2 linked regions of the Rattus norvegicus genome follow. The protein of the gene in region 1 interacts with the protein of each later gene in a biochemical or structural test. Links are inferred from orthologs where the notes say so. Each region holds a gene or a part of one and is shown on either strand. Other genes may lie near its edges.

Region 1 (4,482 bases):
GGTAGGGTAGGAGGTAGAGTAGGACAGAACCTACAGCTTTAAGTATGCTAGGCTAGCACTCTACCATGAAGCTACATCCCACTACCTGACTTTTTAAAAATAAGCCTGGGTTAAATATCAGCAAGACATTAATGGAAACCTCTATATTTTACAGTTTTATCCTAAAATTCACCCTTAGATTATATAGTTGCTGTCAGCAAAACAGACTGAATCAAACATTTTCCTTTACCAAAGCAACTGAGTGGAGCTGGACACACATCCTCGGAGCCTGCAGCCTGCAGCCCCAACACTGGGAGAAGAGAAGTATACAAGTCCCGCCAACCTGAGCTACATAGGAAGACTGTCTCAGAAACCAAAGCTGGGCCAGCACTGCTGGCAGAGGCCTGTTAATCTCAGCTACTCAGGTAAGGTAGGAGGGTCGCAAATTAAGGCCAGCCTGAGCAATTTAGCAAAACCATGTTTCAAAAAAAGGGAGGGGAAAAGAGGGTAAGGAAGAAGGAAGAAAATAAATGGAAGTTTACTAAACATAAATGTTAACTTCCAGTGCAATTCTCAACAGCCAAGAGACAAAGTAGACATTCATATACGTGCTGCTCAAGGGTACAGGAAACAGCACTTTGCTAATAATTTGTTTAACAAAAGGATACTTTCTCAAGGTAAACTGTAAACCATCTAAGAATGAATGATATTTAAATCCCAGTATGTTAAACCATACCATGAACTGAGTTAAATAACTATGATAGCTTTCTCAATACTTGTTCAAAAAGTGAACTCAAAAACTGAAAATTTCAGCAATAACAAACAAGGTGACACTGCTGAGTTCTTAAAGCAAAAGAAAACTGCACAACTTCGGAGCAGCACACTCACAGAACTCGTGTCTAACAAGAATTAACCTAGTTCTGAAGGAGCTGCTAAAAACAAATAACAAGAGCACAGAATATCTACACTGAAAATACTGTCCTCTGTGTCACTGTGTGGCCTGTAAAGAACTTACCTTTAAATGTAAAGAACTTACCTTTGAAATGTAAAGACATTTCAAAAGCTTAGTAAGAATAAAGAAAGCATCACAGGGCTGGAGAGGTGGCTCAACGGTTAAAAGCATTGACTGCTTTTAGAGAAGACATGGATTCAGTTCCCAGAACTCACAGGGCAGCTCACAACTGCCTAGAATCCCATTTCCAGGGGATCCAAAAGACCTCCGCTGGAACTGAGCATGCCCGTGATGCACATACTATGTATGCCAGCAAGACACTCAAACATAAAAAAATAAATATGTCTTCCAAAAATGTTAAATACTGCATCAATATAAACTTTACAAGTATTGAGAGATTTAACTTGGTTCATGTTATAAACTTAGGTTTCCGGCCACTCATGATCTCAAAGAAGTTGTTTCTCTTTTGCAGATGAAAAACCTAGGGTGAGATAAAACGGGGGTGATTCAACCACACTCACCTAACTTGAAATGTAGGAAATAACCAGTGAATTATTGTGAAATGTTCTTTATTCAAGCATACTGGACTGCAAACAGACTTTAACAGAATTAATGAAGCTATCATTACTTCAAGGATCCACAGGTTTCAAATCGAACCTTAAGAAGTTTATAGTCTGGCAAATACTACGGGCAACGGTGGAAATGGATGCTTAAAACCTAGCTACTCTGAGAAAAGTCAACATAGGAAGTCAGCAAAGATCATTACTATACAAACACCTGAGGGGTGCGGTCACTAAGAGACCATTCAGCTCGCTCTTCTGTTAACTAATCCCTATAGGAACTAAAAAAGTTATTTTCCTTTCTACCTACGTCAGGTTATTATTCTCCAAGGGCAGCCTTCCATGCTAAGCATATATAACACCAAAAGAAAAAAGTATCAGTAAGTGCCCCAAACTCAGTTTTCAGAACAGAAAGGAAATCCAGAAAGTATTTTTGACAGCTCCTTCCCACCCAAAGCCGCTTGACCCGCTTTAAACCCATTTACTGCTGAAATACACTCTAAGTGGTTCGACGGCTCTCCAGCACTAAGCCCCCTAACTGGGAAGCATAACCGACAGTTCCAGGCAATGAGGAAGATCCTGAGAATTCCTAGAAACTGACGTCCGCAGAACCGAGAGTTGGAGAGGAGAGTGAACAGCGCGGTCGCAGGTGAGTTCTTAAAAAGGAAAAGAGAAAGAAAAAGAAAAGAAAAAAGAAAAAAAAAGGGCGAAAATGTTTGAAAGAGAAGTTAGTTGGAAGGTTAAAGGGAGGCGAGGCCGATGTCCGGCTCTGAGTGGACGGCACTGCAGGGACAGGCAGCTTTACCCCTGCGTGGGAAATGCTCAGAGTTCTCAGATCTGACCCGAGTCCCCGACACAAGAACGCTGATACGTGGCTCAGAGAGGACACGCGGGGGTGGGGCCCGCCCCGCTAAATCCTAGGCTCCCTGAACCAGCTTTCAAAGGAGGATAGCAGCTCGATAAAGTCAATGGGTTCAAGGAGGCCTGCACCGGCCAGACAACCCCAAGGTAGGGAAAGCGACGGCGCACCGGAGCTCCGGTTCTGAAGCTTCCGAGGGTCGGCCCTCAGGAAGTCCGAGCAAGCCCGGGGCTCCCCGGTCCCTCCTGACCCAACCTGGGTCCTCCTCACCCCCCACAGGCTGAGTCCGGACCCCTGGGACTGACAGGAGGTTTCCAGTCAAACGCTCGCAGCTGCAGTGGAGCCAAAGACACAACCAGCTCTCAGTGCCGCGAGTGACACTCACCGGCCCGAAACCTCGAATGAAACCAGCAGCTTCGGGGGCGGCGGCAGCAGTGGCAGCAGGAACCGAACATCCAAAATGGCGGCTCCCTCGGCCTCACCACCGCTACTGCAGGCGGAGGGATCCCAGGCGAGGAGGGAGTTTCTAACTCACTTCTCGCGCTTCTCGAGAAGACGTCGCTCCTCCGCTCCCTCTCCTCGTCCACTCCGCGTCCCTCCAACTGCAACCTGTGCTCTTTCCCACCTCGGATGACCCGAGTACTCGGACCCTGCTGAGGACTATTTGCCGAGGAGGAGGCGACTGCGCCTGGCAGAGCGACGCAAAGCGTAGCAAGGGTCGGGGCTGTCACTGATGACGCTAGACGCGGCTGCCGAGTCACCGCTGCGAGGAGTCTGAGCTAGAAAGGTCCGGCCCTACTCCAGAGTCAACGCACTTTGGTTCCGCTTGGTGGCGGGGTTGGGGAAGTGGTGCAGCCGGGAAACGGTGGGGTCACCTGAGGGGGCGGAGCTCAGCAAGGTAACTCAGGAAGTCAGAGAGGGCATGTAGCTAGTGTTTCCAAAAGAATTCTTAAGTGGTTCGTATCACCTTTGAATCCTTAGCTTTTCTGATCAAATTTAGCAGCATGCCGAGTAGTTTTGGAATCCTTGGTTTTATGGTATCTTCATAATTTTTTTTGCAAAAACAGAAGATGAAACCGAAGAATGGATCCAAGCACAGCACCACCCTTTGTGTGTCAATCTCACCAACGATTCAGTTCCCTCCCGTGAGAAAAAAAGAATCTGGACAAAAGACAGCTAAAACTCTTCCAGAATAGGCTTTCAATCTATGATTGAATGAACTAATAACCTGAAGCAAAGAAAGTCTAACTAGACAGTTCCTGGTGTGATAAATAATTACTAACTTGTGACAAAAGTCTTTTCCATGTGAACCTAGAGATCCTTGATATCTTGGCCCATTTAAAGGAAAGGTGACCTACCTAGAATAAAATCTTTCCGATAGATTGGCAACAAAGCCACCCGGGATGTGAATAAAACACAATAGTAGACTGAATACCACAGACCAGGAACTAAGCACAAATCCTGAGTTTCAGACTTGAGTGTCATAAACAGGAAGTTGCAACTTTTCCCTTAGGCATTCGTTTTTCATGCAAGGATTTCAAAATACTTTACCGACATTGAACTGGGTAAGTCTAGGCGTACAATTTTGACCTTGAATTTCTGGGGCATGCCAAGTGGCTGGAAAGAAAGGACTCCAAGGTCATGATCAAATTTATTAACTATTGGTGTCTCATTGGTCATAATGCACAACCTAGCCCTCTAAGCAATCTCTTGAGTCGAAGTAAGTAACCTAAGTTTACAAATGAAGAGATTTAAGACGAGAGAAATTACAACTGTCTCTCACAATGGATTCTGCATTAAGATGTCATCTTAAACAGAAAACGCACCACACCCCAAACATGTATTCCAATCCAGACCCACTGATTTAGACAACAGAATATTTATGAAATTCAGACCCTCCTACCCTTCTTTGGTGCATCTGCCCTGAGCAGCCCCAGGTACAGCCTAAGACTAGAACATCATAATGCTAGCACTCTAAGCCAGGAGTACTAATGAAACGTGCCAAATTCACAGTGAAATGTCCATAAAGGAAATCTTCAAGCAGAGACGCAAGGCAAAGGTAGCCACGTTTTTCACATGGAAGATTAAAATAGCTTTTAAGAGCCAAAATTAAGTGTTTACCATAGCAAACA
Region 2 (3,809 bases), on another chromosome or scaffold:
ACAGAGGTTCTCTGATGCACCAGCACCAAGTCGGAGCTGCTCAGAGCATTTATAGTTCTAAAGTGTGAAGATTTGGAGAATTAGAATTTTTTTTAATAAAATTACAGGATTCTTCCCATGCCTCACTCCATTCATTTGCATTCTTGGTACTAAAGGATGTGGTCCTTTCAGCTAACTGGGTCATGGGGCTCAGACCAGAGTTCTTTTAGGGAAACAGTGCTTAAGTGGTTAGTTAGTCAGTCAATTTCCTTCCCTCCTCCTCCTTTGGGTCCATGCGTCTGTCTGCCCTTCCTTCCTCTTTCACCTGTTACTGAGATGGTGATCTCATTGTGTTGTGCTGCACTGCATAGCTTTGGACTCTTGCTCTCAAATGATCACTGAGCTTCGCTCTGGTGTAGTTTACCGTCATGTCTTGCTAGCTTGCTCTGTGTGTGTGCTCACTCCTTCAGCCTTATTCCCCTCCCCTTCTCCCTTCTCTCTGCACCCCCAAACTCGCTTTCTTGCCTTTCTCTGTTGTTTGTTTGTTGGACGCACATCCACTTGTGCAGAGCCTGGGCTGCCCTAGAACTTGCACTCTCTGCCTCCATCTCCTGAACACAGGGGTTATAGGCATGGACCACAGCACATAGCCTTACTTTCTGTTTAAGATATTGTCATTGGCTTATATTTGTCTAAAAATGAAGAACCATTAAGATAAGAATAAAATAGTCATTGAACTCATTGGATGACTTTAGAAAACTGGAAAGATGTTCATTTGTCTTGTGTTTATAGAATGGCTTCTGTATCTACTCCTGTAGCAGTGTTCAAGGGCTTCAGATCTGTCCTGTCCATCAAGGCTGTGAAGTTACCTGAAGACAGGCTTTTGATTGGCATGGGCTGCACCATGTTGTGTTTGTGTGGCACTGTGGGAGATTCGTTTTCCCTTAAAAATAATTTTCTTAGGAGAAGGAAGGACACTGGAACCTTCCAGATTTAATATCCTCAGTTGTTTTTCTTCGTTGTTTACACAGATGAACGGTATGACCCTGAGCCCAAGTCCAAATGGGACGAAGAGTGGGATAAGAACAAGAGTGCGTTTCCATTCAGTGACAAGCTAGGGGAGCTGAGCGACAAGATCGGGAGCACAATCGACGACACCATCAGCAAGTTCCGGAGGAAAGACCGGGAGGACTCTCCGGAAAGGTGCAGGTACGCTGCCTCTCCACCGCCTCTCCACCACTTCTCCACCACCTCTCCACCGCCTCTCCACCGCCTCTCCACCACTTGCTTAAGGGCTTTGCTTTACGCAGCCGTTTGGTTTGGTTTGGTTTGGTTTAATTTTGATGTATTGCTGTTATCTAAAGCTTAGCCTTTTTTAAAAACACACTTTGTTAGAGAAATCTATATGACACAGAAAATTTGATCATAAAGTACAGAAGGCACTACATACCCTTTCTCTTTCTCATGGTTTCAAGATAATTGTGTTACATTTCTTTTTTCTTTTTTTTTCTTTTTCTTCTTCTTCTGCTTTTTCTTCTTTTTTCTTTTTTTCGGAGCTGGGGACCGAACCCAGGGCCTTGCGCTTGCTAGGCAAGCGCTCTACCACTGAGCTAAATCCCCAACCCCTGTGTTACATTTCTTAACTGAAAAACTAGTATTGATAAGCTGTAGTTACAGTGTACAGTTTAGGCTGGAGGTTACCATGTTGAACATGCAGTATTCTCCAGTAACAAATGTCGCCTCCCTGAAAATGCCCTCTATAAAAAGAAAAGTGGAGCCATTTATAAAGTTGCCAGTCACCTAGTTTTATGATACTAGGTCAGCCCTAAGTGCTAGTAATATTGACTCTTCCGAGCGGTCTGCACCTCCTGTCTGTCCCTAACCGTTCTTGTCCTCTACATTTTTCTTCAGGCATCTCAGTCTTGGCCTCGAGATTTTTACCCTCTCTAAAATTTATAATTGTCATCTTACATTTGGACATCAGACGGTTCCATGGTCTAAAATAAGGTGTGGGGGAAGGGGATAATGAAGCCTACGTTGGAGAGAAGGTTAAAGGCTAAAATTTAACTACCTGAGACTTAGTATTGCCGTCCTGTGCTCACGTGACCAGAGCAATCCTGCGCAGGGGTGCACCTGGAGTAGTGGTAGGCACCTGGAGTCGCACAGGCCTGTGTTTATAAGCTTCATCTTCTGATGTAGGACAGTTATAATAAGCTGACATCAAACAATAGAAGTAAAACCTGAGGCCCACTCAGTCTGCATGGACCTGTGGAAAATGAGTTTGTTGTTTGTTTGGGGTTTTTTGTGGTGCTGGTGCTGGTGCTGGTGCTGGTTTTTGTTTTTGTTTTTGTTTTTTTTTAACTAATTAGCATCTTTTTCCTACCCATACATTTATAATAGTTCAGATTACAGTTCATGGGAATGAAGTTCAAATAAAACTATAGCCAGATTTTAAAAAGGTTTCAAAATACCTGTGTTCAGTGTATTCAGTGTGGTTCCAGAGCCATTAAATCTCTAGAATGCCCTTTTTAAGACTTGTAAGGGCATAATCTTTGAAGGAACAGTAGTATCAGTAATAGGAACGTATCTGCTTTCTACCAGAGGCCTGCAGGTGTAACACTGCAGCCTGAGAGAGAGTGTCTAAGTACTCTCCTGTCTTCCCTTATTAATATTCTACACAGGCTCTTGTGTCCTATGTATAAGTTTTTGACCTGACTTGAAGTGGGGGATGAGGTGTAGGGTCTTAGTGATATAGCAGTGTGTGGTCCTACTCTATTTTACCTTCTTCTGATATCCTTAGGGGCTTCTTCTCCTCTTCCTTGAACTCTGCTTGCTTTTTTTTTTTTTTTTTTTTTTTTTTTGCCTTCCTTGTTTGCCTGGGTGATGCTGATGATGGCCAGTCTGAGGCAGGATGGGTAAGAGTTCTACCTCTTTGATCCGGAGAATTCAGATTAAAGATCCGGACTATATTCCAAATACCAGTTGGTGATGTGTGCATGTTGCATTTTCAAGTGTTGGTGAGAAAACAGCATGCTGTAGACAGAGTTACATGTGACTCAGGGCTTTGTGTGCAGCCTTCTTGCCAGCCTATAAGCTATGCTTTCTGACCCTTGATGTATCTAAGTCCCAAAGTGACTTGTATTAAGTTGAGATTGCTTTAGATTGGAGTCAGAGTTCATCAGTGATACTCATAGTTTAAGGGGAAAGTCAAGCATTTTACTTTAGGATATTCATAAATTAAACTGCCTATCCTACAACTAGGGAATATAAATAATGGAACATACTTCAGGTTCTTGTCCCTTGCTTGCGCGCTCTCTCTCTCTCTCTCTCTCTCTCTCTCTCTCTCTCTCACACACACACACACACACACACACACACACACACACATTGTCTTTTCTCTCCCACTCGCCTGCTCAATCCCAGACAAAAACTCAGTGACTTAACATTAGAGAATAGACTCCTTTCATTCCCAGCATGTGGAAATCCTGGATTCTTGCTTCCTAGAGGTTCGCTTTTATAGAGCTTTTGATTGGTTGACTTGAAATGTTAACATGAGTAAAATAATTGTTTCAGAAATATTTAAAATATAGTTAAGTTTCTACAGTTGACAGTTATGTAATGCTTGATGTAACAGTAGCAAAGTGCAGCACAATTGTAAAAACCAGTTGCTTCACATTCGGGTTCATTTTCAGGTGACTGTTGACACAGTATATGGTTTTAAGCTGACCGCTGAAATTTCACTGTCGTATTATCTTCTTTCCTCTGCGGCAGTCTCTGATAGCTCAGGCTGGCTTCAAACCATTGTGGAGCCAAGGCTGACCTTAAGCTAC

Evidence for each region.
Region 2: the proteins of Ap1g1 (region 1) and Clint1 form a complex in vitro, tested with the Homo sapiens proteins (2 studies listed by BioGRID). The link is inferred for Rattus norvegicus from reciprocal best matches to the Homo sapiens genes AP1G1 and CLINT1.

Annotation. Positions count from the first base shown.
Region 1 is NC_086037.1:54,652,677-54,657,158, reverse strand, and holds the start of Ap1g1 (AP-1 complex subunit gamma-1), read right to left. Parts: upstream 3,059-4,482; 5' UTR 2,736-3,058; exon of another isoform or gene 2,630-2,735; intron 2,500-2,629; exon of another isoform or gene 2,369-2,499; intron 2,141-2,368; exon of another isoform or gene 2,004-2,140; intron 1-2,003. UniProt on the Homo sapiens protein: Subunit of clathrin-associated adaptor protein complex 1 that plays a role in protein sorting in the late-Golgi/trans-Golgi network (TGN) and/or endosomes.
Region 2 is NC_086028.1:30,834,437-30,838,245, forward strand, and holds part of Clint1 (clathrin interactor 1), read left to right. Parts: intron 1-1,010; coding exon 1,011-1,188; intron 1,189-3,809. UniProt on the Homo sapiens protein: Binds to membranes enriched in phosphatidylinositol 4,5-bisphosphate (PtdIns(4,5)P2). May have a role in transport via clathrin-coated vesicles from the trans-Golgi network to endosomes. Stimulates clathrin assembly.